5 linked regions of the Rattus norvegicus genome follow. The protein of the gene in region 1 interacts with the protein of each later gene in a pairwise test. Links are inferred from orthologs where the notes say so. Each region holds a gene or a part of one and is shown on either strand. Other genes may lie near its edges. The genes, in order: Mbip, Plekhf2, Txlnb, Ndel1 and Bfsp2.

What was found.
Region 2: the proteins of Mbip (region 1) and Plekhf2 interact in binary tests that used the Homo sapiens proteins (3 or more experiments, as listed by UniProt). The two-hybrid records come from large-scale screens. The link is inferred for Rattus norvegicus from reciprocal best matches to the Homo sapiens genes MBIP and PLEKHF2.
Region 3: the proteins of Mbip (region 1) and Txlnb interact in binary tests that used the Homo sapiens proteins (3 or more experiments, as listed by UniProt). The two-hybrid records come from large-scale screens. The link is inferred for Rattus norvegicus from reciprocal best matches to the Homo sapiens genes MBIP and TXLNB.
Region 4: the proteins of Mbip (region 1) and Ndel1 interact in binary tests that used the Homo sapiens proteins (3 or more experiments, as listed by UniProt). The two-hybrid records come from large-scale screens. The link is inferred for Rattus norvegicus from reciprocal best matches to the Homo sapiens genes MBIP and NDEL1.
Region 5: the proteins of Mbip (region 1) and Bfsp2 interact in binary tests that used the Homo sapiens proteins (3 or more experiments, as listed by UniProt). The two-hybrid records come from large-scale screens. The link is inferred for Rattus norvegicus from reciprocal best matches to the Homo sapiens genes MBIP and BFSP2.

What each region holds. Positions count from the first base shown.
Region 1 is NC_086024.1:79,552,910-79,558,564, forward strand, and holds part of Mbip (MAP3K12-binding inhibitory protein 1), read right to left. Parts: intron 4,057-5,655; coding exon 3,937-4,056; intron 2,249-3,936; coding exon 2,030-2,248; intron 1,942-2,029; coding exon 1,845-1,941; intron 1-1,844. UniProt on the Homo sapiens protein: Inhibits the MAP3K12 activity to induce the activation of the JNK/SAPK pathway. Component of the ATAC complex, a complex with histone acetyltransferase activity on histones H3 and H4.
Region 2 is NC_086023.1:28,886,406-28,891,493, forward strand, and holds the end of Plekhf2 (pleckstrin homology domain-containing family F member 2), read right to left. Parts: intron 4,573-5,088; 5' UTR 4,559-4,572; coding exon 3,809-4,558; 3' UTR 1,954-3,808; downstream 1-1,953. UniProt on the Homo sapiens protein: May play a role in early endosome fusion upstream of RAB5, hence regulating receptor trafficking and fluid-phase transport. Enhances cellular sensitivity to TNF-induced apoptosis.
Region 3 is NC_086019.1:14,261,443-14,267,097, reverse strand, and holds part of Txlnb (beta-taxilin), read right to left. Parts: exon of another isoform or gene 4,286-5,655; intron 4,226-4,285; coding exon 4,133-4,225; intron 1,171-4,132; coding exon 1,075-1,170; intron 1-1,074. UniProt on the Homo sapiens protein: Promotes motor nerve regeneration. May be involved in intracellular vesicle traffic.
Region 4 is NC_086028.1:54,058,355-54,064,666, forward strand, and holds the start of Ndel1 (nuclear distribution protein nudE-like 1), read right to left. Parts: upstream 3,682-6,312; 5' UTR 3,641-3,681; intron 3,585-3,640; exon of another isoform or gene 3,059-3,584; intron 1-3,058. UniProt on the Homo sapiens protein: Required for organization of the cellular microtubule array and microtubule anchoring at the centrosome. May regulate microtubule organization at least in part by targeting the microtubule severing protein KATNA1 to the centrosome.
Region 5 is NC_086026.1:112,938,357-112,944,536, reverse strand, and holds the start of Bfsp2 (phakinin), read left to right. Parts: upstream 1-2,290; 5' UTR 2,291-2,355; coding exon 2,356-2,847; intron 2,848-6,180.

The sequences.
Region 1 (5,655 bases):
TTGAAAATTACTAAGGAAAAGGCATCTACTCCTTTTAATCCTACTTTTTAAAAACTGTGATTTTTGGGAAAAATATGTTGTAAAAATGTTTCTAATAATTGTAGCAAGGTGAAAACTACAATTTCTTCCAAATTATGTATCAACAAATAATTTATAAAAAATTAGACATATGTTAATATAATCTATACTATTAAATATTAGCATAATTGTTATACATGAACACATTATATAATATAGTAACATAGAAATACAGATTAATGCTTGAAGTAACAGTAAAGCTATACATTGGCTGTAAATTTTTTGTTAAATTCTCATATTACTTTGTAAAAAAAAAGGATGTAAAATGAATTTAAGTCCTTTGTTATTTCACAAAATTTGATTTTTTTAAAATCAATTTTTTTCTTACACCAACTTAAAGGTCTTATAAAAAAACACCAATACATGTATTTAAACACAAAAATATATTTCTTAAGTTTAAGTTTTAACGGATCTGTGATAAATTGAACTATAAATAAAATTGCAAACCTACTTGATCTTTTATATTTAAAGATTAAACACTCATTTTCTTTTCCTTGGAAACACCTCAAAATATCTTCAACGGGTCTAGACGTCTTTACTCTTTCTATTCTTTCATTGGTCTAAGGATTTTTTTAAAAAGCTATCATCCATTCCAGGGCTCTATTCCAAATGCACAGAGCCATCAGAGAGCAATGTGGCAGTGTGGGGACAGGGAATGCATGAGTGCCAGTCCCTCTCCACAGCAACTCAGGCAGCACTGTTTTGAGCCAGCAAGGGACTGAATGGGCTAAGGAATCCTGCTGAGCATTTCAGTTCTTGTCAACGTCTATCCCCTGGTGGTTTATAATAATGGAGTTAGCAGAAGGAAGAGAGGAGTAACATTAGTGACACATGTCCTTGCTCCCTCAGCAAACTCTTTTCTTGAAGTGCGTACAACTGGATTGCCACACCTGAGATTCTGCCACTGCTACACCTGCTATAAAGAGCTAAGTCTAGAGATCCACACAAGTTAACAGTAGAAGAGTTTAACTTAGCATCTGCAGTGAGCCCACATTATTATGTTAAGAGCATCACATATCAATGTGATTCTGAGTCACTTCCAGGTTCAATGGGCAATTTTATGTTTATAATCACTAAGAGATATTAATGGCAATAAGACGTTCAGCCCAATTACAAACCTTTCTCCATAATTTTTTACAAGGATAACTGATTATGATCTATGGCAATCTACACAGTATATGGTATTCTGTAGGTATACTGCAGACCTGGAAACACTGTAGCATCAAGTGAAGAGGACAAGGAGACTGAGGAGAAACAGCAAAGGTATGCGATGTGAAAAAGGGAAAGGCCTAGGGCTCCACAGGTCTTCGTGACAAGCTGGGTGCATCATGAAACTCAGGAGTAAAGAGAAAACTGCTCCCTCCTGAGGAATGCTATTACTGCTACTAGGCTCACTGAATTAACATAATTTCACAGGTACATTTACAGACCTCAAGTTCATAATCCTTTGTCTTCTCCTAACAGCAAATCTAAACAACTCTGTCATCCAACATTTCACCTTCATTCTCTAAAGAAACTTTGATCTTCTCGGACTTGTGGTAAATATCTGTCTCTAGAGTTCGGCCTTCACTTGATGTTTTGTGTAACCAAAATGAAAATCAGCTTGGCAACAGGGCCCGTCACTAAATAAAGGAAAATTCTACTGCCTTAATTACCAACTAAAAACCTGTAAGACTGAATCTTGTTTTTGTTATGCATTTTTAAAACAAAATATTACATCAGTTGTCAAAATGTTTAAAATTCTATTTAAAAAAACTTCTAGTTACCTTGATTACAATCAATAACATTGCAAAATTCCCTGACGTTGTTTTCATTGATTTCAGCTTGTTTTCTCTCAATAAATGCAGATATTCGTCTGTCAATCTATAAACAACAAATAATTTAACAATCTAAACATAACAGAACTTTTAAAAGTAATATTACCCTGATCCTTGTACCAGCCCAAACTTACTTCCGCTTTTCCAGCCTTTATTTGAACTACTTCTGGATCAAAATGGATTTGTGTCTTTTTCACATCCCCTAAATCATCGTCTTTGAGCTTTCCTTCATCTTGTAGGTCCCCAGTGGGAAGTTTGGCTCTTAGTTCACTCTTGGTCTCTGCTTCTGTTTGTCTTAGTTCTGCAGCTGTTGAATTCTCTTTAATTAAAGACTGAAGTTTTGCTAAAAAAGGCTGAAAAGAACACAGTGACATCTGCTCAGGTTCAAACTCATCTCAACTAGTGATAGGTTTGTATAAGCTGCTGCTACATAAATGAGTATTACCAGTTATTAAATATGAAAAGCTGGTGGCACACAGGACACGCCGCAGGTCTGACCACACACAGGTTTGCTATTTTCTACTACTGTATAGCCCTTATCGCTTGCTGTACATTATTTTTTAAAAAGAAGACAAGAAAGAAAACCTGAGGACATTTAAATTTTTCTTTGAGGAAATCATTCTGTCATTCATCTTTTATTTTGTGCTAAATCAAAGCCTCAGTCTCTGGCCTGGATGCCTCTTAATTAACATGTCATTCAGAACACTAGCTTGAGTGTTCTCCGTCCTTAGCAGGAGAGCAGTGCTCACTCAGCAAAGCCCTGCATTATCACTGCATCGCTGAGATTCTCCACTTCAAAGTACAGTGGGCCACGATGAATGAGGGCACGGATATGAAGTATACCAGGTGTTACCCTGAGTGAACACTCAGCCTTCTCTGACATAGCAAGGATCTTATTGGGTCAGGAAATGAAACTTCACAAGAGCAAATGCACATGAAGTGAAGAAGGAAGGAAAGAAAGGAAGAAAGAAAGGAAGAAAGAGCTGGAAACAAATCACTCCAACTACAGTAGGTTTAAGGAAAATATGTCTTCATAATAGAAATTCACTTCCACTGTTCCTCGTCATCCCCACCCTGACATGGTCCACATTTGAGTTCTATAGCTCATCACCTGCCCTTTAGACAAATTGTTAACTGTTATTTTTATCATGAAACACAGTTAAATGTTCCCAGAAAGTCAATGAATTCAGGGCTGAAAATTAACACATTATTTCTAAACAATATCCTGATCATCTTTTCATACAATTTTGTTTCTATTGTTTGCTATGCCAAGTACTCTTTTGAAATCTTCTAACATCTTCGACACAGTAAAGTGACCAGGAAAAACAGTTCTGCTTGTCCTGATGAGAGAAAAGCTCTAACTCACATCAATTACACTTGCAGAGATGTTCAACAACAGCAGCAAGGCTATAATACTGTTCGTTTCTCAAGCTGAAATATTAAAAGTGTAACAATACCATGATAAATAATTCAATATTGACTTCCAATAAAGGATAAATTATTTCAAATTATTAAGATGAAATAGTGACTGGCTACTCACTAAGATGAAACATTAATGTCACAGAAATTACTTTCTTTTTAAAAACTACGCTGAAACTGTTTAATTGCAATAGACACTCCAGGATGTGTCATGCTGGGATAATGCCACTTCTTGAACCACTGAAAGCACTCCATGAGCCTCCCAACTCACCCAAGGCATGGAATCATTATCATAGCATGACTCACACCTGCCGCGTCTTATTGCTTAATTATAACCCACCATAGATGAACTGTATTGAATTTTCAGCAAAGCCCAGAATTGAATAGAATTGCATTTATTCACTCTCAAACCCACATCGGTCTGTTGGGCTATATTCTCATAACTATCCCAATCACTAGTGAAATTAACAGACCTAGACTCAATATGGATTTCTGCAACCTTTTACTAATAACAGTTATTGTTAACAGAATGTTGAGGTAGAACTGAAAAATACTCCAGCTAATTAAACTACAGTTAATTTCTATTTTGAATATCCAGTAAACATTCTAATATGAAATTTACCTGTAAATACAAAACGTGTTGTTCAAGTGCAGTAAGGAGCAGTGCAGGCTGGGATGTTGAGAGGCTCTGGAGCCTGTTCCAATCGATTGTAATTTTCACCACATCATCTCTGAGGTTAAGCTTCAAAGAGGCAAAGTAGCAACATCACAAAAATTACACGATTAAGCTATATATCTGGGATTATCACAAAAATAAGATTTCTATAGAGTAATGCATGCCTATTTTGCTCAAGTTACTAAGTTTCAATGACATAATAAAATGCTTTCTGTAGTTGCTATTTTAAAAAGCTAAAAGGCACAGCTTTGAAAATAAAAAAGATAAAAACATGTCTTATTATTTTAATTTGGTTTCTACGTCTGTATAATAGGGCCATCTTTGAGAAGCCATAGCCTCTTTTGATACTTTGATATCTTAAATACCTTTGGAAGGTATCCAAAAATAGGTCTGCCCTAATCAGAATCCTAGGCATTCAACAGACGGAGATCAACTACTGCCTTCCAGAAAGTATTCTCTTTGTTACGTATCACACAAACACATGCCTAAAATAAGTCATTACCCTGATGTCTTCTCAATCACTCTTATTGTTTTCAAATTTAACCAATTAAAAATTTAAAACTAAAGATTATTCACACATAGGGATAGATGACAGTAATTACAAATAAAAATCTAATTATCAGTTATGAAATTATTGAGGTTAAAAAAACAAGTACTTTCCCACAGCAGTGTTAACAAAGCCAAAAGTGGATGCCCAATGTTTCCTAAGGATTTTCTAGAAAGATATATCTCATACCATGAAAATTTCTCATCAACTAGTGATTTATTAGGGCAAATGTATATCTAGAAAACTACCAAGAACTGAATATAAAATTAATATCAAAATCTGTCAAATTTTAGAGGGAGAAGCTTCCACCTGTAATAATTTGACTGAATATGAGGGAATCTCTATAAACTTTTCTGGACACAATCCAAGTGGAAGCAAGTTAATTATACTTATTTTGTAAGAATAATTTATTAAAATTTAGTCATATTTTCCACAAAGTAAAGATGTTTCATGAGCTCAAATATAATTTAATGAGCTGTAAGAATAAAAAACCAAGACATGAATCGCTGTCCATGGAACCAAAGAGATCTCAGGTTCCTCTGTTAAGCACTCTACTGTATAAGTAATGGATAGAGACCTACTGCCTGAGACCAGAGGCATCTGAGTCTACATTTGGCAAACATAAAGAAATACAAAATTTTACACAGGCTATACTGACAAAGACAAACTTATACTAAATTAAGATTTGACAGTAAGGTTAATTAATAAGATAACTGAATTTATTATTGTGTATAAAGGTACTCCATCAGCATGCATTTACAGTCAGGGGATCTATAGTTGACCAAGGCAAATTTATGTTTGGGGAATAAACAGGCAAGTCTTAAAGCAAAGCAAAGTATCACCTTCTCTAGAGAAAATAATTATAGGAAAGAAATCTTAATATTTAGATCATATTTTCATGTCAATTTGGAAGGATTATAGAAGCTTTCAAAGGCAACTCAAGATACTTGGTCTTTTATGGAAACCAAACAATAATGTAACAAATTAACTTAAAAATGACCCCCAAATATATCCAAAACATTCAGCAAATTCCCTAGTAACATGTGGAGTCTATGAATTTTTACCCCATAACTCTTGGGACAGTAACTAGGAATTCAAGATTTTCTATTAATATACTA
Region 2 (5,088 bases), on another chromosome or scaffold:
CAGAAGCAAAGCCAGTCTCACTAAGAACTGCACTGAGTTTGCCTTTTCTGCCCAGTCACTAGAACGGACTTAACTACAGAGATTTCTCTTAAGGCATCCAACACATTAACACGTCTATTTTTTTAAAAGATGGTCAGTTGTCACTAATCACTGGGGAACAAACCCACGATGAGCTCACATGGCTATTATCAAGATGAGTAGCAGCACGTGCTGGGGAAGGGAACTCTGGCATGCTGGGTAGGAATGTAAATTAGAAAACAAGGGAAGGGAGGAAGGGCTAAGGTGATGGGAGCAGCTAAGAGTGCTTGCTTGCTTGGGTTCCAGATAATCGGGGACAATTGTCCTTATCTGGTAACTTACAATTGCCTGTTAACTCCAGCTCCAGACGTGACAATACTCTCTCCAAGCCTTACACTTACATACAAATGGCTCTCACAAGCAAGCCAGACGCGCGCGCACACACACACACACCCTGACCCAAGAGAGTGGAAGGAGTGTGTGCACACTCACGCACACACACATGTAACTGAAAAAGTTATTTGGTAATAAGAATGTTAAGTGTTCATTAACGCTATACAAATGAACCATGAGATCATTAGTAAACTAAATGGGTTCCCTTCAACCCCCAAAAGGGCAAAAACAGACAGACCGTGGTTGCCTAAGGCCAGGGGATCGAGCAGTAATCATGGAGTGCCTCAGGGGCAGGGCATGATAAAGTGTCACATAGTTGACAGCTTTAATGACTATGACTCATTGAACCGAACATCTCAAAACAGATTAATTGCAGGTAGGTAAAATGGAGAATGTTTCAAATAAAATTGGTAAGTTAACAAAGGCACACAATTATATTTTCTCCAAACAAACTCACAGGCACACGCACAAACGCCTGGTAAAGTGGTAAATTCTTTTTTTTCCCCCAATAAACTTGTATCACCAAAGCTTTTCAACTACCATTTTAATGTGGATTACTTAATAAAACTGGATAGCAAAGGGGGCAGTGCGAGCCACCCAATCTCCCTGGTCGTTCTACCTTCCGGAAACTAAGATGTTAGGAGTTACCAAGAGGGGGCAGCCTAGAGCAGCCGGCTCACCGACACACCCCGGTCTGCAGAGCCTGCATCTAGGAGAGGCCACCTAAGCATACACCTTGCTTTGGGTGGCTGCACCAACCGGCCATTTTTACCACATTGTGGCTGCTCACAAGTGTTACAGGAATGGTCATTTCATGGAGCAATAAGGCTCCTAGGATCCTACCCAACGGTAAGAGAGAAAACCCTGTTACCGGGATCTGGCATTGGACTGGCTGTGGGGCTCACCTCCGCCTACGGAGAAACTTTGGTTTTTCCTGGTTTCCCCGTATCTGATGACGATCACCCGTGCAGTCTTTGGAGGTCGAAAGCGTCTTAGCAAGCAGAATGGAGCGGAGAGGCAGGCAAGCCTTCGGCAAGTGCAGCCGTGGCCTCGAGGTCAAAGGCCTGGACACCTTGTGCATAGCTTTGAATTGGGTTTGAGGATCAATAAATAGGGGTTTCCAAATCAAAAAAAGAAAAAAAAAAAGATCTGGGAAGCGATTCTGCCAATCCCGCATTAGCCTGTCCTGGAGAGGACAGGGCTGGAGTGTGGCTCAGCTGGTGGGGTGCTTACCTAGAAGACCTCACTTCCAGACCCAGTGCTCAGTAAACAAGGTGTCAGCCCAGCCTGCTAATCTAGTACTCAGGACACGGAGGCAGGAGGATCAGCTCAAGGGAATTCTCAGCTTCGTACTTTATTGGTACATAGTGAATTTGAGGCCAGATTGGTCTAAATGAGACCCTATCATCAAAAACCCCAACTCCCCATCAGTGCCTACATGCTGGGCATCCACAGCTAATAATAAGAAGGTGGGACTACGCATAATATCTCAGTGAGAAAAGGAAGAACATCTTCTAGTTACAGTATAAAAACACAGGAAACAAGCTGCAAAATATTTTTACTGTAAAAACAATCAACAAAGGTCAACAATGCAAATGTTATCTCAGGACATTTCCCCTTGGTTCCTGAATTTGCAAGTTTCCACCAGCATTTCTCTGATTTTTATGGTCCTTTCAAACACGCTTACTGACTACACATATGTGCTGCTCTGAAACAAAATTCCATTTGACAGTAAAACCAACCAAGACAAAAAGCAGGAACGGAGCCCCCAGGCCATGCTCTACTGTGCTTTCCTCATTTCCTGCAGGGAGACAGACCCATACAGCCACACACTTTCAGATCTGAACAGAAAAGTAAGATTAGTACTGTAACCACACGGCGAAGTAACAATGACTCTTCCATTCACACGGTACTGAATCAAACTCCAGGGCATCTGCAGAATTATGTTTTAAATTTTGAAAAGGGGGTGGAGTTTGAAAAGAACTCTGGAAAAAACAAAACAAAAACAAAAACAAAAACCTTTCTGCCTGCTGGTTTCCCACATTTGAAAACCTAGTTACTGCAGCACGCCAATGGCCAGAATGTGCACAGCATGGCCAGTGCTGTGCAGAGAGCGCTGTGCAGAGAGCAGGCCCACAGCCCAACAGCCGTCTCCAAACATAAAGAGAGCAACTACCAGTTCTCAAAGCAACCTCATCGATGCTGCAATCTAGAAATATCAACTGCTACTCTATCTCCATATACCGTGAAATGATTTCAGAAACAGATTAAACATACAATTGTTTTACAAAAATAAAAATTGTTTGGGGCTTCATAAACTCTGTAAAATACAACACCACCTGTAAATCAAGATAATTTCACACAAAAAAATTGACAATGCTTGCAGACAGGAAATCTAGTCAAACTCTGATCTCTTCCAGATCTGTATGATTCCATGTTCTACTGTGAGAATTTTCTAAAAACTTTTCATTTTTGCCAGGTGGTAGTGGTGCCTGGGGAGGCAAAGGCAGATGATTTCTGAGAATTCAAGGCCAGCCTGGTCAACATCGAGTTCCAGGACAAGCAAAGCTACACAGAGAAACCCTGTGTGGGAAAAATAGGGGTTTCCTCAGATTTTTCCTTTAGGAAATAATGTAAAGCAAATAGTTCTATGTAAAAATATCTTAGGAAAGTGAAAGCCAGTGGAATACGCCACTTCTAACTAGTGATGAATTTCAAATCAAATTCCAAAGAGTGGCATCTGGCTAGCTTTAAGCATACAAGTGACCATTATCATTTGGTGCCTAAAAGACATAAAAATATAATTGCAACTATTTTATGAAAAATATGTATTTATATAAGGAGATACCTCAAAATTTAGTTCCTGGTAGCTGTCAAATAAATATTCTCACCTACATTGATCAAACATTCATTTTCCACCTGTAAGAGCACCAGTGTGTTTAAATGCATCAAAGAAGTAAGAAGGTAGGGTGTACGTTGATTTCAGTGACAATGCTGCCACAGTAAGGCACCACTCGGTATTGAGAAAAGAGAAGTAATGAGGAATTTCCAACCCATGTTGTGTCACTGGTGTCTTAACCATTACATAGAATGCTTGGGGAAAAGCCACAGATGTCGAGGTTCCCACCATTCTGTGCTTTTAGTTTTTCCAAATCAGGGGGAAATGTGATACAAGATCTGTTAAATAAACATCTTTCCAACTTACAAGAAAATCATCTAGAAATAAGGAGTAGAAAGCCAAGCCCCTATCGGATGCTTTCTACAGGATACAGGCACAGAGAGTAAGTAAGACCTTCTCGGGCAGTCCTGGCGAGAGCAAAACTGAGGGAGCCAGGAGTTTTACACTTCCCCCAAAGCTGATTCTCAGACAGTCAATTAAATACTTCACAGCATGTCCTCAGTCACTGCTATCATCGTCATCGTCGTCATCAGATGCGTCATTTAAAGGAGACTTCAACGACTGACTGTAAGAGTCTGATCTAGTCGGCTGACACGCGGCCATGTCCCCCGTGGAAAGCAGGTCATAGCAGAAGTCACAAATCCGCACAGGCTTAGAAGACTGGCTGGGAAGGAGAAATCTCTTTTCAGAGCAGGGACCACAAACAACAAAGCCACATTTGCGGCAATGGTGCCGCCGATTCACTGGTGTGAACTTTGCTTTCTGACAGCGCATGCACACGGTGGCCTCCGAGTCGGGAACCCAGACAGCAGCGTGCTCGTTGCTAGGCGTCTTCCCACTTTTGGAGAGTAAATCACTGACACACTTATTTATGTGGTTCATCCACTCTGACTTCTCCGTGGCAGTGGCAGCATAAACTGCAAACGACTTAGTCGGTGTCTTAATAAGCCATCCATTCCGTAATTCCCCTTCATCTTTGATAGAATCAATGGTGACATTTTCCAAGGGAATAATGTGTTGTTTGTTGTATTTTTTCTTCTGGATAACAATATTGCCGTATACAAGAATATCATTAAATAAGAAAAACTGCCTTGCTTTCGGCTTCTTTCTGCACAGCTTAGTCAATACTCCTTCTCCAATAAGCACCCGCCCAGGGATGGTCAAGGGCTGACCGGCTGCCCCGAAACAGCTCTCCACAATACTTATGCGTCTGGTGTTTGCTTCACTGTTCGCCAGGCGATCCACCATCTTTTGCTAATAACCTTTAGGGGAAAAAGAAAAGAAATCAGCACACGCAAAGTATACATTCCTATAAGGGATTAACAAAATGTCATCTACCAAGGCACTGATTTTTCCAAAGGCAAGTAATCTTGTTTTCTTTCCTTCTAAAATAATCACTAACATGCTAAACTGTGCGTAAAACCTGCTGAGTCTTCCCGGGCAGCCCCGGTAGGCCTAGAACACAGTCCTCCTGCCTCTACTTCAAGTGAGATCACAGTGTGGGTCATTTATACCCTGCACAAGTAAAACAACGGGACAATCAAAAACAAGTTAATTCCACAAGATAACCTGGCTCCATGAAACTGAACCTCAGCGGGATTCTGGAGAACAGAATCCAAAGAACACTTAAAACCCACAACTCCAGCTTTCCCAAGAAGCCGCCCATAACTCCGGAGCCTCGGCCCTAATGTCCTCACCTGGATTCCCCCAATGCTCTCCCAACTGCTGCCAGCCTCACCTCCTGAGTCAATGTGTAGGCAGCCATCTCTAAAATGCTT
Region 3 (5,655 bases), on another chromosome or scaffold:
TTCTACACTTGAACCCACATTTAGTGACATCACTTTGTTTTTCTGATATTTTGATTATCAGACTAATAGAATTTTAATTACTATTGCCTGTGCTTTGGGAAATAAACCTGATAAGGTTTCTTTCCACTTCCATAGAAACAAAACCCTCTCAAATCCTAACCCACATGAATCTTCTGTTTCTCAAAATTTGGGGGTATAGGCAACGTCTTCTGTGAAATAAGTAAGATGATGTAGGACTTGGCATTATGTACTCTAGGAAATATGTCTTCTTGATAGAACTGCTATATGCTAATCCCAGCAGCCATCTGATGCGTGTTGATGACTCATGAACATGTCTTGGGAATTGGTTGCAACTTGGAATGAATAGTTAAAGTGGTAATTCTAACCACAGAAACTCCCCACATACCGATTCACGATGTTGGCTGCTTGAACTGTTCAGTTCTTCTCTCTGGTAATAGCAGTCGATGTGAGTGAACAGGGACCTGATCCTAATCACCCCACTACTGATTGCCACCCTAGCTACCCTGTATCTTTAAGACCCTTTTTACTCATTAACAGGAAGGGATCTTCCCTTGTAGGGTCAGCCACCTAAGTCAGAGCCTATAAACCTTCACCTTTGGAGTTGCAAAACCTGTATAGGTCCTGGCGTAACACCAGCTGTCTAATACCTGTTGGAGGAGTTTTTAAAAAGATTTCTTCATATCTGTCTGTAAAATAGCCTATGTCCGCTGGTGTCCTCTCTTAGCACAGTCAAGTCAATGCATTCAGTGTATTTGCTGGATGTCAAACAGTAGACGTTTGAGATCAAGTAAGAATGTCATCAAAGCCTTTATAGTCCAGAAGGCATAGCACCCCTCTGGGGTCAGCTTTCTACCTTATAATCCCGTGACTAAGGTTCTCAAAGATCTTTCATTCTTCCTTAGATTTCTAAATAACTCTTGATCTTATTCTTTCTACTACATTTTAATACATCATGTCACCCTTGAAATTCAGCATATTTTCAGACATAATCACTTACACCGTTGGGTTATATTGATTATTTCACCAGGGTCAGGGAAGGAAGAGCTTCCTCACCTCTTCGATCATGTCCAGCAGGGCTTTGTTACAATTCTCAAATCGGGCTTTCCATGTGGCCGTGTCCTTCTCCAGCTTCTTCATTTTCTTTGTCGTCTACAGAAATTAGAGTGTTTCAGTGTTTAACCCTGAAGAGCTGACGTATCAAGGAAGCAATTAGTTCCACATATGACACCCAGCACAATCCTTTTGCTACCAGCTGCTGAAGCAAACAAATGTACAACATCAACAATGAAGATTGTGGAAGAGGAATGATTTATTTCCTGGATTGGCAACGAACAAACCGGTTTGCACCGGAGCCAATTCAGGACGGAAGAAACTACTTAGGAGAACACTGTGTTGTTGCTGACTTTTCTTTCACTTAAAATAAATAAAAAAATATTCCTTACTGAGATCCATAAACAAGCTTGTAATTTAGATAATTTACTTGTTCAAATAGAAGGCCCTGGTGGTGAGAGAGCTGAGATTGCTTTGGGGCATTTCGCTGCAGGTAATAATTGGTGTGCACACAGAAGCTGCTTGCCACCTTCTCTTTATTCATGTTTATAGGGTGAAGGTGAGCTCACAGGAGCTGATGGTTACACATTCATGTCATCTCTGAGACAGCCCCATGAGAAACACTCCGTTTTCATCCCCATTTTATAAATGAGGAAACTGAGGGTCAAGGATGTGTATTAATGTCTAAGTGGATTAACAAAAGTCAGGCTAGCGATACCTCGTTTTCTACCAAAAATGGTGCCTCTTTGTCACCAGACTATGAATGTGGGTTACATTCTTACTCTGTTTTATTTATTGTAGGATCTCTTCTCTGATTGTGTGAGTTGAAGGGTAAGGCTCTTAATCAGGTATGTCCTTTCATGAGCCACACCTAGGTGCTTGCTTCTTTTTTATTTATTTATTTATTTGGTTCTTTTTTTTTGGAGCTGGGGACCTTCTTTTTTATTTTTATTTCAGGTATCTTGAGACAAGGTTTTCTTCTGTAACCCTGGCCAGACTGAACTTTCTATGTAGAGCCCGCTGTCTTGGAACTCACAGAGGTCTGCTTCCCTCTGCTTCCTGAGTGCTGGGATTAAAGGTGTGTGCCTTCATGCCTGGCTATGTGCTTGTTTCTTGAGCAAAGCTGTTTGAGGTACACACTGAGGCCAGAGGCTGAGCCCAGACTATCATTTTTTGCTCTAAAAGGAGCTAGATGGATTTTTTTTTGTTTGGATCACATGTTAACTAGATCAGGCATTTGTAAAGTTTAAGAAGTTAAGTTTAATAATTTGATACAAAAGTACAACAATGTCAAGCAACCAGAGCTTCCAGGGACTAAGCCACTACCTAAAGACTATACATGGACTGACCCTGGACTCTGACCCCATAGGTAGCAATGAATATCCTAGTAAGAGCACCAGTGGAAGGGGAAGCCCTGGGTCCTGCTAAGTCTGAACCCCCAGTGAACTAGACTATGGGGGGAGGGCGGCAATGGGGGGAGGGTTGGGAGGGGAACACCCATAAGGAAGGGGAGGGGGAGGGGGATGTTTGCCCGGAAACGGGGAAAGGGAATAACACTTGAAATGTATATAAGAAATACTCAAGTTAATAAAAAAAAAAAAAATCACAGACAAAAAAAAAAAAATTGATACAAGATAGAGGACCATATTCAGGGTTACACAAACATGCATCCCAGTTTTTTGTTGTTGTATATTAGCCACGGAATTCTTGGGCTAACTAATATCCATAAATAAATTCCAGATGAAGAGCACTTGATTTAATATCCCTTGATTTAAAATTTTGAAATAAAATTTTAAAAATTAACTCTTCAGAACCAAGAAAACTAACTTAACAAATATTAGTGTAAAAGTTTCATTATCTCACTAAAATATATTTTGAAAGGTGCTCCCTACACTTATAATTAATGCCAGTGCTTGTTCAGAAACACAATGTGTGTATGTGTATGTGTATGTCTGTGTGTGTTTATGTCTGTGTGTGTGTATGTGTGTATTGTGTGCATGTGTGTGTATGTGTGTGTATGTGTGTGTATGTGTGTATGTATGTGTGTGTATGTGTGTATATGTGTGTATGTGTGTGTATGTGTGTGTGTGTATTTACATGTGTGTATGTAGATGTGCCTGTGGACATGCCTATGTTGTGCTGTACTTGTAGAAGTCAGCAGACAACATTTAGGGATCAATTATCTTTGTGCACCTTGTTTTGAGGCAGGGTGTCTTTTGGCCCATCAAGGTACTTCCTATGCTAGGCCAACTGGTCCTGGAGCTTCTGGACTATTCTACCGCTTCTGGTTTCCCTGTGCTAGAGGGGTTCTAAGAGCATGGATGTCTCTCATCCCCATACAGCTTCTCACATGGTTCCAGGGATCTAACTGGGTCATCAGGGTCACTACAGCAAGTTCTTTCACCCTCTGCCCACAGAGGCAGAGTGTTGACACTGATTTTCTATTAGGAAGATACTGCACTGAATGAAATGCCAATGCTATGTCCATTGACATTATTTGTACCTTTTAATTATGAAAGACTTGCAAAAACTTTCGATGTGTTAGTTTATTTATGGTTTTGTGAGTTATGAAAAAAAATCAGTTTATAGATAAACAAAATAAAACTCAAGAGAAGTACATAAATGGCCCAAGGGTCCTTGATGAATAGTTATAAATGCAGAATTTGAGCTTACTTTTCCGTCTTCTTATGCAGGGCTTCATCAATTGTAATGCACAAGAGTCTATCAACTCTAATGTTGTATCTTTAGGTTTAATTTTTTTTAACCATACGAGGGTTAGGTGTTTGCACTTAATGCTAGCTTTTATAAAAGTTTGCTAACAAGAAGAAAAATGTTAGTCGTCTTAGTGAAAAATGTATCCTAGTATTTAGGGACCATTGATCAGATTTGTTTACTGGAATTTTTTTAAAAAGACAAAATTCCACTGAAAGCCTCACTCCTGCCTATACAAATTGCATTGCATCATGAAATGCACTGGAGTATCTTAGCCAGAGAGAAAGGAATGCAAAGACCTGCCTGTCAAAACAAAGATGGCCACTCTTCGTGGAGAGGCCATACTCACATTATCCATTTCCTGCTTGAAAGTGGCAAACACTTCATTACTTTTTGTCAGTGTACTCTGGAACTCCTCAAACCTTCCCGAGTAGAGAGTAAGCTGTAAAGAAAAAAAAGAGTATATCTTTGGGGCTGCTCTCAGATTGCTTCCAGAAAAAAAACAAAACAAAACAAAAACCCAACAAGTCGCTGTTCATTATTTGAGAAGAAAAATGAATTAAAGTTATTGCTGGTACAGGAATATGTTTAGTTATTTTATATACTACAAGGTCAACCTAGGTTGGTGAACATAATTAAAATTCTTCATTAAAACATCGTGTCTGTCTGTCTTTAAATGCCTTCTCCTATAGCTCTCCACCTTACCATTTGAAAGGTGTCTCGGTGAACCTAAAACTTGACATTTCAGCTGTACTGACTGGCCAGTAAGGTCCAGGGATCTCCCTGTCTCTGTCTAGCTCTTTGTGCTGTATTTATAGGCATGTGTCACCACACCTGTCCTTTACCTGGGTGCTAAGGATTCAGACTCAGGTCCTTAGGCTTTTGTGACAAGCACTATACTCATCAACCATCTTTGTACCCACAACATGCTTGTTTTCTTCCTTCTTTCCTTCGTCTCCTTTTTTTGAGAACTGCATATATATATATATGTATATATATATATATATATATATATATATAGTGTTCTGATCAAATCCGCTATCATTCCCTCCCCTCCAGTTTCTCCCTTATTTCTCTCAGCAGTTCTTCTCTGTCAACTTCTTTTTTTTTTTTTGTGAGCAGCCATGTGGATGCTGGGAACTGAACTCGGGTCCTCTACGAGAGCAACAAGTGCTCTAACCACTGAACCATCTCTCTCCACACACACCCCCACCCCTGTCAACTTCTTGTCTCCTATCTTTTCTTAAAAACGTATCAAGTCCACTTAGTGTCGCCTAAAATGTTTTTAAAGAACAATAAAATTATAGAATATAAGTTACAGCTTTATTATATCATAACTTTCACAAATATTTATTGGTCACTGAACATAAGTAAGTACCACTTATAGAAAGGTATTTATTTAACGTGTGAGTCCTGCTTTTGAGGGACTCGTACGCCTAATGGGAAGACAAACGCAATGACAACTTGACTATGGGGTAATCAATACAAATTACTAAGTCACTTGCCTTGGATTTTCTCTGTGGTCCACGTTTACAACCTAAGCTAATGAATAGCTATAATCTTAAATTATGCCTCTGACCCAAGAGCAATGCAGGAATCTTTGTGCATGTGTTACGATACACATTTGCTAAAATCAGCAGATAGAGCTCAAAAGCAATCTTATAAGTAAATGTCTCCCATAAATATTGGAAGGGGCATTTGAATATTGCTTGATAGTATGTGTTAGTTTGTTATCTGACTCTGTTGGGGTCAGTTGGAGTCAGTGACTTAATCCCCTGTAAGACTCTGTTAAAGATTCCCTTAAAGTATCTGTTCCTTTCCCATGTGATGCTCTCTGTGCTGCTCGATAAAAGACGAAAACAAGTCCTTTGT
Region 4 (6,312 bases), on another chromosome or scaffold:
TGGTTTTACAATATAAAGGGACCTACTGGCAGCTCTCTTAGCTCAGAAATGGTCCCTGGGAAAGAATACTTCCACATATACTGTAAACTATGCATTTTCTCCAGCTTTTGGTTCTTGAGAATTTTTTCATATTTTTTAGTTTACACACAAAAAAATGTAAAATGTTACACATATTAAAAGAGTACCATGGGGTTGGGGATTTAGCTCAGTGGTAGAGCACTTGCCTAGCAAGCGCAAGGCCCTGGGTTCGGTCCCCAGCTCCGAAAAATAGAAAAGAAAAGAATAAAAAAAAGAGTACCATGTAATGTTCAATATATAAATACACTACACACTACTTAAGTAGGGTTAAATATATTTACCTCCTCCACTGATTATCAATTCTCTCTAGTGAAAACTTTCAAAATCCTTCTAGCTCTTTACAATATACAATCTAGACTAACTACCTAAAGCTATATACTCCTTTATAGTATTTTGTGTGCATCTGTGTATATGTTCATGAAGAAGAATAGATGTATGTGTGTAGTGTGTGCAGATTGGCATGATGTGTGCACTTGTATGTGGAAGCCAGGGAACAAGCTCAGGTGTAATCCCAGCACTGAACAGACAGGGGTAAAAGGACCCAGAGAGCAGGGGGAGCAACATGAACGTCAGGCCAGGCTTGCTTACATAGCCAGTTCTTTCAGTTCTCTGTCAGCCAGAAGCTATACACACACACACACACACACACACACACACACACACACACACACACACAGAGAGAGAGAGAGAGAGAGAGGAGTAAGTCACAGGAGGCTAAGGATGTGACTCAGCTGGTAAAGTACTTGCCTAGCATAGCATGCATGAAGCCCTGAGTTCAATCCCCAGCACTGCACAAACCAGTGGTGCAGCACATCTGTAGTCCCAGCCTTCAGTAGGTAGAAAGAACAGGACCAAGGTCATCCTTGACTACATGGCAGGTTGGAGGCTCAGTTTAGGCTACACAAGACTTTTTCAAAAAAGAAAAAAGATTTAAAAAAAAAATTCATGGGAATAGAGATGGTTCTGAGGTTAAGAGCACCCACATCAGGCAGGCTCACAACCATCTAGACAGCTCCAGCTCCAGGGATTCAGGTGCCTCCTGTCTCTGTGGACATTGAAGGACTGAAAGGGTGGTTCAGTGGTTCAGCACTCTTGCAGAAGACTAGATTATGGTCCCCTGCACCACACAGGGAACTCCCTCTCCACCTCTAGCTCTTCTTATGACCTCTACAGCCACCCACATACATGTGAGCACACACTCACACACAGAAATAAGTTTTTAAAAGAAAATGAATCAAGCCAGAAAATTCAGCATGCAAAGTGCTTAAAAGCCCAGACCCTAGAGTCAAACTATGCCCTTGCTGGGAGACCTAGGGCAAGCTATTCAACTTCTCAGTGCCTCATTTTCTCACCTATAAAACAGGAAAATTAGTTGTGTTTTGAAGATGAAGTGAATTACTATTGGCACAGCATTCGTAACAGAGCCTGATGCATAAACACAGCATAAATGTTAATTCAATTGTAAGAATCTAGTATGCCAGAGTGGGCCTTTAAAGTTAGAGAGCAGACTTCCAAATTTAAAAACACGTGATTCCTCAAATCGTTCCATTACAAAAGGCTCTCACATCTCTCCTGGAATAAGCTTTGTGAGCTAGACTAGAACAAGCAGGAGTTCTTACCCTTCCGTCACACCTACCTGGCAGTACCCAGCTTTACCCCACTACACCTATTCATCAACTTTATCCTTCTAAAAGCCAGGTTTAAATAACGAATGTGCTATCGTTGCATGATCTCAAAGCTGTCTGCGACTGTGAAGACTGTGTGTGGAGTTTGCCTCCAGGTACACTGAGAGATTGTATTCACTATCACCTGAGATTACGTAAGTGGGGAAAGTTAGCCAATGTCAAATTTTTCACTGCTTTTAAAAAGTGCTCAAATGGCACATCTACAATCTTCTGAAGCTGCAATACAGGCAGACAAGTATGGGGTATGAGTCTAAAATTACAACTTCTGCACCAGACATTATCACACTCTATATGACCTTTAGATGTGAACTGGCAATTAGCTCACTTAAACTTTAGACAGTTATCATCTAACATACCTTACTGGCAAAGACACTCTGTACAGCACTAAGAAAATTAATTTTACATGATAGGCTATTAACATATGCAGAATGAAATAGGTCTTATCATTTTTCTCCCTTATGAAGTGCCTAGAAAGTAATTTTAACTTAAGTCATCAATCCTTGAGTTTATTTTACCATGCTTTAAAATCCAAATGAAAATAAATTTTGTTGGTCTCATGAAAGCATATTCAGGTCTATTTTTTCTGTATCCAACTTCAATTTATCTCACTCAAAGCAAAGGCACTGCAGATTTAGCAACTTCTAAGATTAAGTCTGTTTCTAACTGGGGCTAAAGGTTTTCTTTGTTCTTTATGCATTTCTACTCTAAATAAAGATGTTAACAATCCAGAAGAGATACCCCTACTGGGTGCCCTTTGGCCTCCTTTGACTGACTCCTCAGCTTAATGCTGGGCTTTGCCCTTCACCTTTCTGATTTGGCAGACACTAACCCTATCTCTTAAACGCAGTGAAAACAACACAATTTTCAGACTAACAAACAACCACTCATGAGCAAGCTTCAGGGTAAGATTTTTCTAATAACTGAGCTGATTTCTGGTCCATTTACTGGTAAATAGATAAGTAATCTAGTAACTTCGGGTATTATCTTTTGACAAGTACAATGCTCAGTCCTCTTTCTGGCTGAAGAAGGTATAAAAATTTCATGAAAACTGAAACCAGAACCCTAAGCTGAGAAAGGTAAATTGTGATCCAAGCTAAACTTCTCACCAGTTAGTGGAACTCAAGTTAAAAAAAAAAAATCACAATTGCCCCCACCCCCTTGTACCTAGGCTCAATTTCCCCACACTCCAAACAGTGACTTACAGTATCCGTTACAAGTGCAAACAACAAATGTTCTAAAATGTTTATAAACGCTACAGGAATAAACCCTAAATAATGAAAAGAACCCTCACTCGCCTTAAAGGGTTAGTCACCTCATCGTTTCCCAGAGAAAAAGGAGAACCCAAGCAACCGGAGTTGGTTGGTGATACTTTCCCCAACTCCAAAGCAGATGATTAGCAGTCCGGGGCAGACAGTCACGAGACTACCAGTCTCTGCCAACGCGTGCTGCTCCCGCTCTCCCCTCCCGCATATGGGGCGCTGGGAAATCAAGATCCAACCCTGCTCCTAACCACCCGGGCAGCTCCGGGGAATTCAGGGTGGGTGGAGCAAGACGCTGGGCGCGCCGCTGCCACCCCAACTGGGCCACTCCTCGAGCCGTCAGTCCCGGTTGCCACGTCCCGGCCTCCGTCCCTCCTCTGGAAGCCCCGCACTCGCTCTCCTGCAGGTGCCCCCAGTGGGCCACACCTCCGACAGTAAGGAAGGGGCAGTTAGAGCGGTTGGAACAGTTGTTTCCGTACCGGCCGCCCCAGAACCCAAGCCCGGCCTGGCCCACCGGGCCCTGAGCCACAGCCCCGCGGTCAGGCAGGCTCCCCAGGGGCAGGCCTCGGCGCTGCCCACTCGGCTCGACCCCAGAGGCTGCCTCACACGGGAGCTCACCGCCAATGTGTCAAAAGCGCATGTTCGCCGCCGCTCGGCCGACGTCTCTGCTCCGCTGGCCTGGCCAGGCCCGCCCAGCCTCTCAGCTCTGCTCCCTTCCGCAGCCCTGAGCTCCACTCCGCGTACCTCCGCGCTGGGCTCCTCCCCGACACGTCAGGGGCTCCCTGGGTGTCGGAAGCCATTCTGTGACGCACGGGGGTGGAGTCGAGAGCATGCGCAGAAGCAGGCGGGGGGGAGGAGCCATGGGAGGCAAGCGTCACAGGGAGCCGACCCAGGCCCTGCGCGCTGACGTCAGGCCTGCGACAACGTCCTGCGCAGGCGCCGCCCGGGGCACCCTAAGGGTGGGTTTTTAGCCCTCTGGGGTTTCCGGAAGCTGTGCTGTTGGCGAGAGTAGTTCCCTACGCTAAGAGGAAGGCAAGTATGAAGGCGTAAGGGAACTCAAGAAGGAGACAGGAAATATGCGCAACTGTCCTGGGAGTAGAAACGTAAATGAAGAAAAGGCATTTGGGGAACAATTTTAGGGATTTTTGCTGTCTCATGCTAAGTGTAATTCTAATTTCAGTGCTGTTGGGCTTGGTTTTGAGGTTTGAAAACAAAACAACATAGCATAAAACACGCTAAGCCTAAAAAAGGTGAGCTGAAGAAGCCCACGTATACTTTTAGGAAAGGTAAATATAAACAAAAACAGTGTAAGGTGGATTTTTTAAGGAGAACCTAAATTGATGAGCAGAGGAAGATTGGTAGGGTCTAAATCACCTTGAACTACACAATGAAGGAGTTAGGGTTTTAAAAAATGATTATGAGTTCACTGTGCGGTTTGTTGTGCCCAGGGTTGTACCAGTCACTGGTCTGCATTGCTTCATCACAGTAACCCCAGGTTACTCTCAATTACAAATAAGAAACGGCAAGATGAAGTTTCCCAAGGTCACTCAACTACAGCGCGAATTCAAATTCAGAAGCTATACTATTATTATCCACTACTACGATGACAAGAAGGGAAACATAGGCTAGACCATGGGGCTAAAGTGCTTTCAATACGCTACCATTAACCCTCAACATTTGAGGCTGGAATCATTAGATCTATATTGTAAAGTAAGACTCAAAAGAGGTCTACTTTCCAGGCCAGAGGCCTCGAACAGCTTTGAAACTCAGTCTGCCTTCCCTACTTGGAGCTGTGCTCAGTCTAATCAGATTTCAGGCAAGGAAGTGATTAATGAAGGCTTTCCTATAGACCCAGTGCCAAGACAGAACAGTCCCACCCAAATAGGAAAAGATAAAGGCTGCAGCTTCTGTCCTGCCTCCTGGCTGAGGTGCTAAGAAACACACTGAGTCACCTAATGGCTGGCCAGGCCCTTCAGAAAACATTGACATCATCTCCCAGGCTGCTGCCCCTCCCATTTGCTCTGGCCTAGGACTGGCATCATTCCCTTCTTAATGAATGGGCTTAGTTTGGCAGAGCCCTCAGAACCCAAAGGCCCTGCTTTGATCTTCATCATTGGCCCAGGGGCTAGAATAAGGTACGAGTCAGCAAACTGCCCCACCTCCTTCCATTATGCCAAATCCATACGGAATAAATCAGTAAAGAAGATGACAGTCTCAAAAGGAAGCACAAGTTATAAAACCAGCTTGGTAAGGTGAGGACTGCCATATGCTTCCAACCTGATGTAGCATTCCAGAGTACTTTCCATAGGTTCCAGTACTTTTTGGACTGTTCAATGTACCAGAAAGTTCAATGTAACAGTCTCTGAGAACACGTGTAAGCACCCACAACATCTTCCCTGCTACAAAATACAAGAAACAGATCAAGTTCTATCCTTCCAATGGTTAATGTGTGATCAGCTACCAAAAGAGAGATCTGGGTCCAAACTCCAGCTAGTGAAAATGCTGGACTTTGGCCCATCTCATACCCAAAAAAGGTAATTGTTTTAGTTAAGGTTCTACTGCTGCAATGAAACACCAAAAAGCAAGTTGTTGGGGGAAGGGTTTATTCAGCTTACACTTCAATATCACTGTTCAACACCAAAGGAAAGTCAGGACAGGAACTCAAAACAGGGCGGGAACCTGGACTAGAAGGTGATGCAAAGGCCATGTGGGCTTGGGGACTGGAAGGGGAGTAGTGCTTACTGGCTTGCTTCCCATGGTTTGCTCAGCATGCTTTCTTACAGAATCCAGGACCACCAACCCAGGGATGGAACCAGCCATAATGGGCTGGGCCCTCCCCCTTCAATCACTAATTAAAAGTTCTTTACAGCTGGATCTAACGAAACATTTTTCTCAGTTGAGGTTCCCTCCTTTCAGAAAACTCCAGTTAATGTGTCAAGTTGACATAAGACTAGCCAGCACATATGCAGTACATATAAACCTGCTACAGAAACTCTGAGGAGATGGAACATATTTACCTTATGGATCAGGTAAACAAGACACCACAAAAATCAAAGGCTCACTGGGTGTGTTGGTGCATGCCTGTGATCCTGGAAAGTTCCAGGCCAGCCTACAGCTCTACATAAGAGCACCTGGACTTAAACGACATGCGCGCACACACACACACACACACACACACACACACACACACACAGAGAGAGAGAGAGAGAGGGAGAGAGAGAGAGGAGAGAGAATACTAAATTCAGTCTAACTTTTTTTTTTTTTTTTGGTTCTTTTTTTCGGAACTGGGG
Region 5 (6,180 bases), on another chromosome or scaffold:
TTTATAGTCAGTAGCTTGAACCCTGCATTTGGCCTCAGACAAGACATTCAGGAACTGACTAAAATGCATCTCCATGGAGCCCAATAATACCACCTGGATTAGGAGGCTGTTACCATAACTCAGTCCCCAGTGCATCATGGACGCTGCAGAAGTGGTATTCATAGGAAGACCACTACATCTATGTAAGCTACAGTGCATAAGCTACTGGCCTTTACTTGGTTCAGTTGGCTCCTTAATCTGTTAACCAGATAAACACTGATATTTAATCTTGTGTCTCCCAAGAGGTAGGGAGGTGCCTCAGTATAAGTACCTTACAGTCATGAAGATCCAAGTTTGATCCCCAGAACCCAGGTACAAAATCTGGGTGTGGTGACACAGGCTTCTAGCACTGGGTAGGCACCAGGTAGGCAGAACCAGATCCCTGGGGTTCACTGGCCTGCAAGTCTATCCTAATTGGTGAGTCCCAGACCAACAAGAGACCCTGTCTCAGACAAGAAGGTAGATAGCCTTTGAGGATGGCTGTAAAGCTAATCTATGACCTCCACACAAGACAAAAGTAACAAGGTCCCTCTTACATTGTCTTACATCCTACTAAACAGAAGGAGGAGAGAGGTTGCAATTTTCATGAAGACTAGGGAATAAAACACAAAGTTCTAGCAGATGAGCAGCCCATGTGACCCTGGTGAGTGGTAGCTGCTAGAAACAGCCTTATACACCCCTGGATTAAAGAGACCTCAGCTCTCTACATTCTGGACAAGGACCCCGGGATCTCTTATCACAAAGAGAAATATTGCATCTATGAGCTAACACTTCTGAAATTGCACATGATGTACCCCGAACAGCAGTGCATGTCGGTGCTATATTTTCCCAATTCTAAAGTTTAATTGAAAAAAAAATCAGAGAATGGAATTGTGCTCAGAATTGAGTATCTACCAGATACTCAATTGGTACCTACCAGAAATTGATTTCTGTCCCTGTCTCTTGCCTGGGGTCAACCCTCATCAACCCTCCCATTACAGGACCAAGGAGTCCACGGTCCATCTCTGGACCTAGGGTGTATGGTTTCAATACACTAAAACCTCACCTGGCACATGGCTTTTTAGGACCATGTCCTGCTCAGGCTGGAGGGACCATTCTACCCCCGAGAAGTGACTGGCATCTAACCATTGACAGTGTGACTTGGAGGATGCCAAAGATAAGGAGTAAAACCTGGGATGCCTGCTCACAACTCTGTCACTCCCGTTCCAGGGGATCTGACACCCTCGCACATATATGCATGCGGTTAAATCACCAATGTACATAAAAATAAGATAAAAATCCTTGGGTGCTGAGGAAACCCTAACTTGGATAGGAAACCCCTTTGTTGTTTTCCCTTCTTGGTCTTATTAAAGGGTGAGACAGAGGTGAAAGGGAAACCAGAGCCAACAGCTGCCCAGCAAGCAGCTCAGGTCCTAAACTCACTCCTGAGCGTCTGCTGTGTCAGAGTTAGCAATCGAGCAGCATGTACAACAAGGTCGAGAGGACGAGAAACAAGGCCAACAGCCAGCAGCTGACAAGCACAGTGTCAGAGGGCAGACATGGCGGGGAGGGAAGAACGGAGCTGAAAGGGGCCTGGAACAGCTGCCAGACCCGAAGGGAGAAAGCATGAGCAGGCTTGCTTCGTTTTCCTTGGGCCTCTGGGGCTGCCTTCCTCCGTGGCTGGGCTGGCTCATGCACACATTCGTACATGAAGGGATAAGGCCAGTCCTGTAAACCGCCCTGGGGCTCTTGCATGGAGTCTCAGCTTGTAGTGTGAGATCTGGAGATCAGAACGCTTGTCTTCTAAGGTTCTGTAGCCCGATTCCTCACCAGTGAAATAGGGACAGCTTGTTGCCCACCTGACCTCTCTGTGGTAGTAACATACTCATCAAGGCCAAAGACTGAGGTTCAGAGAGTATGCATGAGGCCCGATTCTGTCACAGGAATTGGAGGCAGAAGGATCAAAAGTTTAAAGTCTTCCTGGCTACATAAGGATTTTGAGGCCCACCTACGATAGAGACACTATCTAAAAAGAAATAGGCAAACCTAGATGACCCATTCCCACAGGCAGCACTGCTCTACCCCCAACCCCAGAAAAGTCTGGATGTCTGGGCACATGACCCAGCAACAGAGAATGCCTGTGTGCCTCTCACAGGCTGGTAGGGCGCTTCTCTTCCAGCTCAATGAATGCCAGAAACTCGTGGAAGGCAGTAGACAAAGAGCTCGGGGACAGGGGAGCTTCCAGAGAGGCCCGTGACCAGGCCATGGGGATGCTGGGGCGGCAACCAAAAGCCACTGGACCGTGTGAACCTGCCATGCACCACAGAGGCAGTGAGAATGAGCGAGAGGAGAGTAGCAATGGACTTGCCCTCAGGATCCAACGCCAGCATGCCCCTGCAAAGGCACAGGGTGTCATCCCTTAGGGGAACACGATCTCCTTCCTCCCTGGATAGCCCCCCAGCATCCAGGACCAGTGCTGTAGGTAGCCTCGTCCGTGCCCCTGGGGTCTATGTAGGAGTAGCACCCAGTGGTGGCATAGGTGGCCTCGGTGCCCGAGTGACCCGCCGGGCCCTGGGCATCAGCAGTGTCTTCCTGCAGGGCCTGCGGAGCTCAGGCCTTGCCACTGCACCTGCTCCAGGCCCAGAAAGGAATCACGCCACTGCTGAGGACCTGGGGGGCTGCCTAGTGGAGTATATGACCAAGGTGCACGCTCTGGAACAAGTCAGCCAGGAGCTGGAGACACAACTACGGGCTCACTTGGAGAGCAAGGCCAAGCGCTCCGGAGGCTGGGATGCCCTCCGTGCCTCCTGGGCCAGCAGCTACCAGCAGGTAAGTCCTCCAGCTGTGCCTGGAGGTTTACTAGAGGTCTGAGAGAGGATGGTGAAGGTAGTGAAGATGGCGCAGAATCAGAGGCCAGGGAAGCGGACCACTTGCATACCAAAGCTGCTGGTGGTCTAAGATTAATACTGGTGAGTTGCCATTCACTGAGGCTGACCAGGAGCCAGGACCACCCAGGCATAATGTACACCCGACGCACACCAAAAACACCCCAACAACGTTCTGCAACCAATCTCTCACTGTGTATACTTTTCAGATGAGAAACCCAAGTTGTGTACAAGGTCCCAGGCCATAAGCAAATAGAGCAGCGATTCTCAACCTGTGGGTCACAGCCCCTTTAGGGGTCACATGCAGATATCCTGCATATCAGATGTTTCTGTTCTGGTTCATAACGGTAGCAAGATCACAGTTGTGAAGTAGCAACAAAATAATTTTATGGCTGGGGGCCACCACAACATGAGGAATTACTGTATTAAACGGTCCCAGCATTAGGAAGGTTGAGAACCACTATAATGGAGATGCAGCAGATTATGTGACCCTGGATTTCCCTTCCTCAAAGTTGCACTTGTCCTATTATCTGGGACTGCCTCCGTCACCGTTAGTGCAAAGGGTTTTCAAGCCTTCACAGAACCCAATACCATTGGATGGATGTGCTATTTTAAATGGTGACTAAATAAATGGGGGGTCTCCTATATCCAGATAAAATGAGTATATGGGATCAGTGGGAATATGGACCATACAAGTAATTTTCAATTTCCTATTACCTATGGTGTGTGTGTGTGTGTGTGTGTGTGTGTGTGTGTGTGTGTGTGTATAAACAAGTGAATTTGGTGTTAATATTTTGTTTGACTCAATAAGGAAAAAGATTATTTCAGTATGAAATCAATACAGAAATACGAGCACAACAGTTCTGACTCAGATAGACCCTTATGGAGGATGGAAATGTCTTACAGTCTTGGCCATCGGTTATGTGGCTTCTCCTGGGCAGACATGGACAAATGCATTTTGCCCCAGGCAGGGCACTACCAACAATCAAATATTTTACCCAAGTCTAGCTTAGTACCAATGAGTTTATCGGGGTTACTTACCAAAGTTGAGTATGATTGTATCAAAGGAGACTGCACCCCTGAAAAGCGCACGGGCAAGACTCATGAAAGCTATACCCCAAGAGCTCCCTGCCCAATTTGCAGGTAGCGCTAAAGAAGAGCCTCCCCTCCCCACAAGGGTTTATTGCATATATAATGGGGGAGGGCGTGACTCTTACAAGGCTCTAAGCCTTCTAAGTTTCCTCAAACTTCCTGGATCTTAGGATCCACCCTCCTCCCTCCCCTTCCATTCAAAAAATTGCTACATCACACCATCCATGGCAACAGAGTCCTTGGAATGTGGCCTTTGAGACTGAGCACTTGACACTTTGTTCTACCCGGATTTTGTTCCTTCAGATCACCACCTACAGCCGACAGTCATCTTGCTGGGCAGGGGTGTGGCAGCCTCCTTTCCCTGTCACCTGGTCAGAGTTGCTTTTTTGTTCCCTGAAATAATTTCCATAGAACTCTAAGCTCATCTACCAATTGCGCCTGCAAGCTCTGGTTCTAAGACTAGAACACACACCCCACCCCCCAGGCATTGTCCATCTCAGCTCCGGGGGTAGCTGGCTCTGCCTTCTTCCCTGAATGTTGGCCTTGGGATGACTGTGAACTAAATCAGTCTCTATTCCAGAAGTAGCCAAGTCCCATTTGCTCCCTGGAGTCAGATATGTAGACTGAGAGGAGGTCAACGAGTGGCCTACGTGTGGTTGGGTGATACCAACAGAGGCACACATGGAGGCCCCCATTTCAGCCCGTGATGCTTCTCCTTCACTGTTCTCAGCAGCCCATAGAGAAGGGAATACAATACTGTCCTTCTGGCCAGTGCAGCTGTTCTGTCCACACTCCTCTGAGTTGTGAGGGAGAGCCTCAAACATTCAGGGCTTTACAGCCTGTACAAGAGGCAGCCACTCCTCTGGGAGTCCCCACGGCTATCTTGAATTCAAATATGTGTGGCACACTAACCCCTAGAACATGCCATATATTTCATCTCAGCAGCATCTGCTGGACAACATGATACTCAGATGCCATGCACATACATGTACCAGGAGGCACCAGGCATCTCAATGTCGAGGTTAGAGAGTTCAGATACAAAGTCCAGTAAGCAGATATCGAAAGTGGCTCCAGAAGCCGAACGTGCGGATATCGGGACCGGACACAGAAGCTTCTGCAATGTGTGAGCCTCAGTTTCTCATCTATGACCCGGATTTAATAATGTCTACATAATCCAACAGCTCTATAACCTGTAGACTTGAGAGCTATAAAAACATTTCAACAGAACAGCCATGAAGAACAGCCATCACAACGTCAGCTTCTGCCCCTAGTGGTCAAATCCAGAATGACAGCCATTTTCCTCTAAAGCATTTACCAGTGAACTACTAGAACAGACGCTTCCCCTTCCTCCTCCCCGTTCTCCTGGATTCCTCAGCCTTAAAACCACTTAGGCCCTTTCTCCCTCAGCAGTGAAAAGAAGTGGAGAAATACCCAGGTGGTGGCCTCTGAGATCAAAGAGGACCCTGCCGGCTCCTGGTCCAGCAGGAGGTGGCCCTGTGTTTCCCTGCACTGTGCTCCTGACTTCCTATCACGTGGACGATGCCAATAACTGGCTCTGTTCGATGCTGCATCAGATCCTTTTGTCCTCAGACACGAGCTTGCACGGAGAGACCTCCTGTTGCACAGCTGCAGATAAACCAGCAGAGGAGCATCCTGTGTAGTGAATGTCAGTGCACAAGGAGGGAGCTGAGCCAGGCAGGGGGAGGGAGAAACTGCCCAGGCTAGGGATGGGGACGTGGAGCACTAGAACTTTATGTGGGAAAGGATACCGGGATCTCCACAGGGAGAAGACAAACAGAAATCAAAATCGCTGAAAGGCCAGAGGATCAGGGTTCTCAATGGGCTTGTCCTGGACCTGTTTTCTCTTCCTGGGAAAGCCGGCCTATACTCTGGAATTTCATCTGTTTGGGGAAACTGCTAGCAGCCTGGGGGTGCCCTTTAGGGCCCAGTTCTCTTGCTGTGGAAGCTGTGGGGCTGGTGTTACAACCACACAGAGAACTAATCTCACCCACCGGGTGAGAAGGGCAAGAGGGTCAGCACGGAGACTGATCGTACTGTCTCTGGAAGGAGGCTAGAGGGGCAGGACAGAACTCTGAGCTGTTTTAAAATCTACAAATGCCTAACTGTATTTTCCGAGGGAAAGAAATGCCATTGTTTATTTCCTTTTCTTGTTTAATGTGTACAC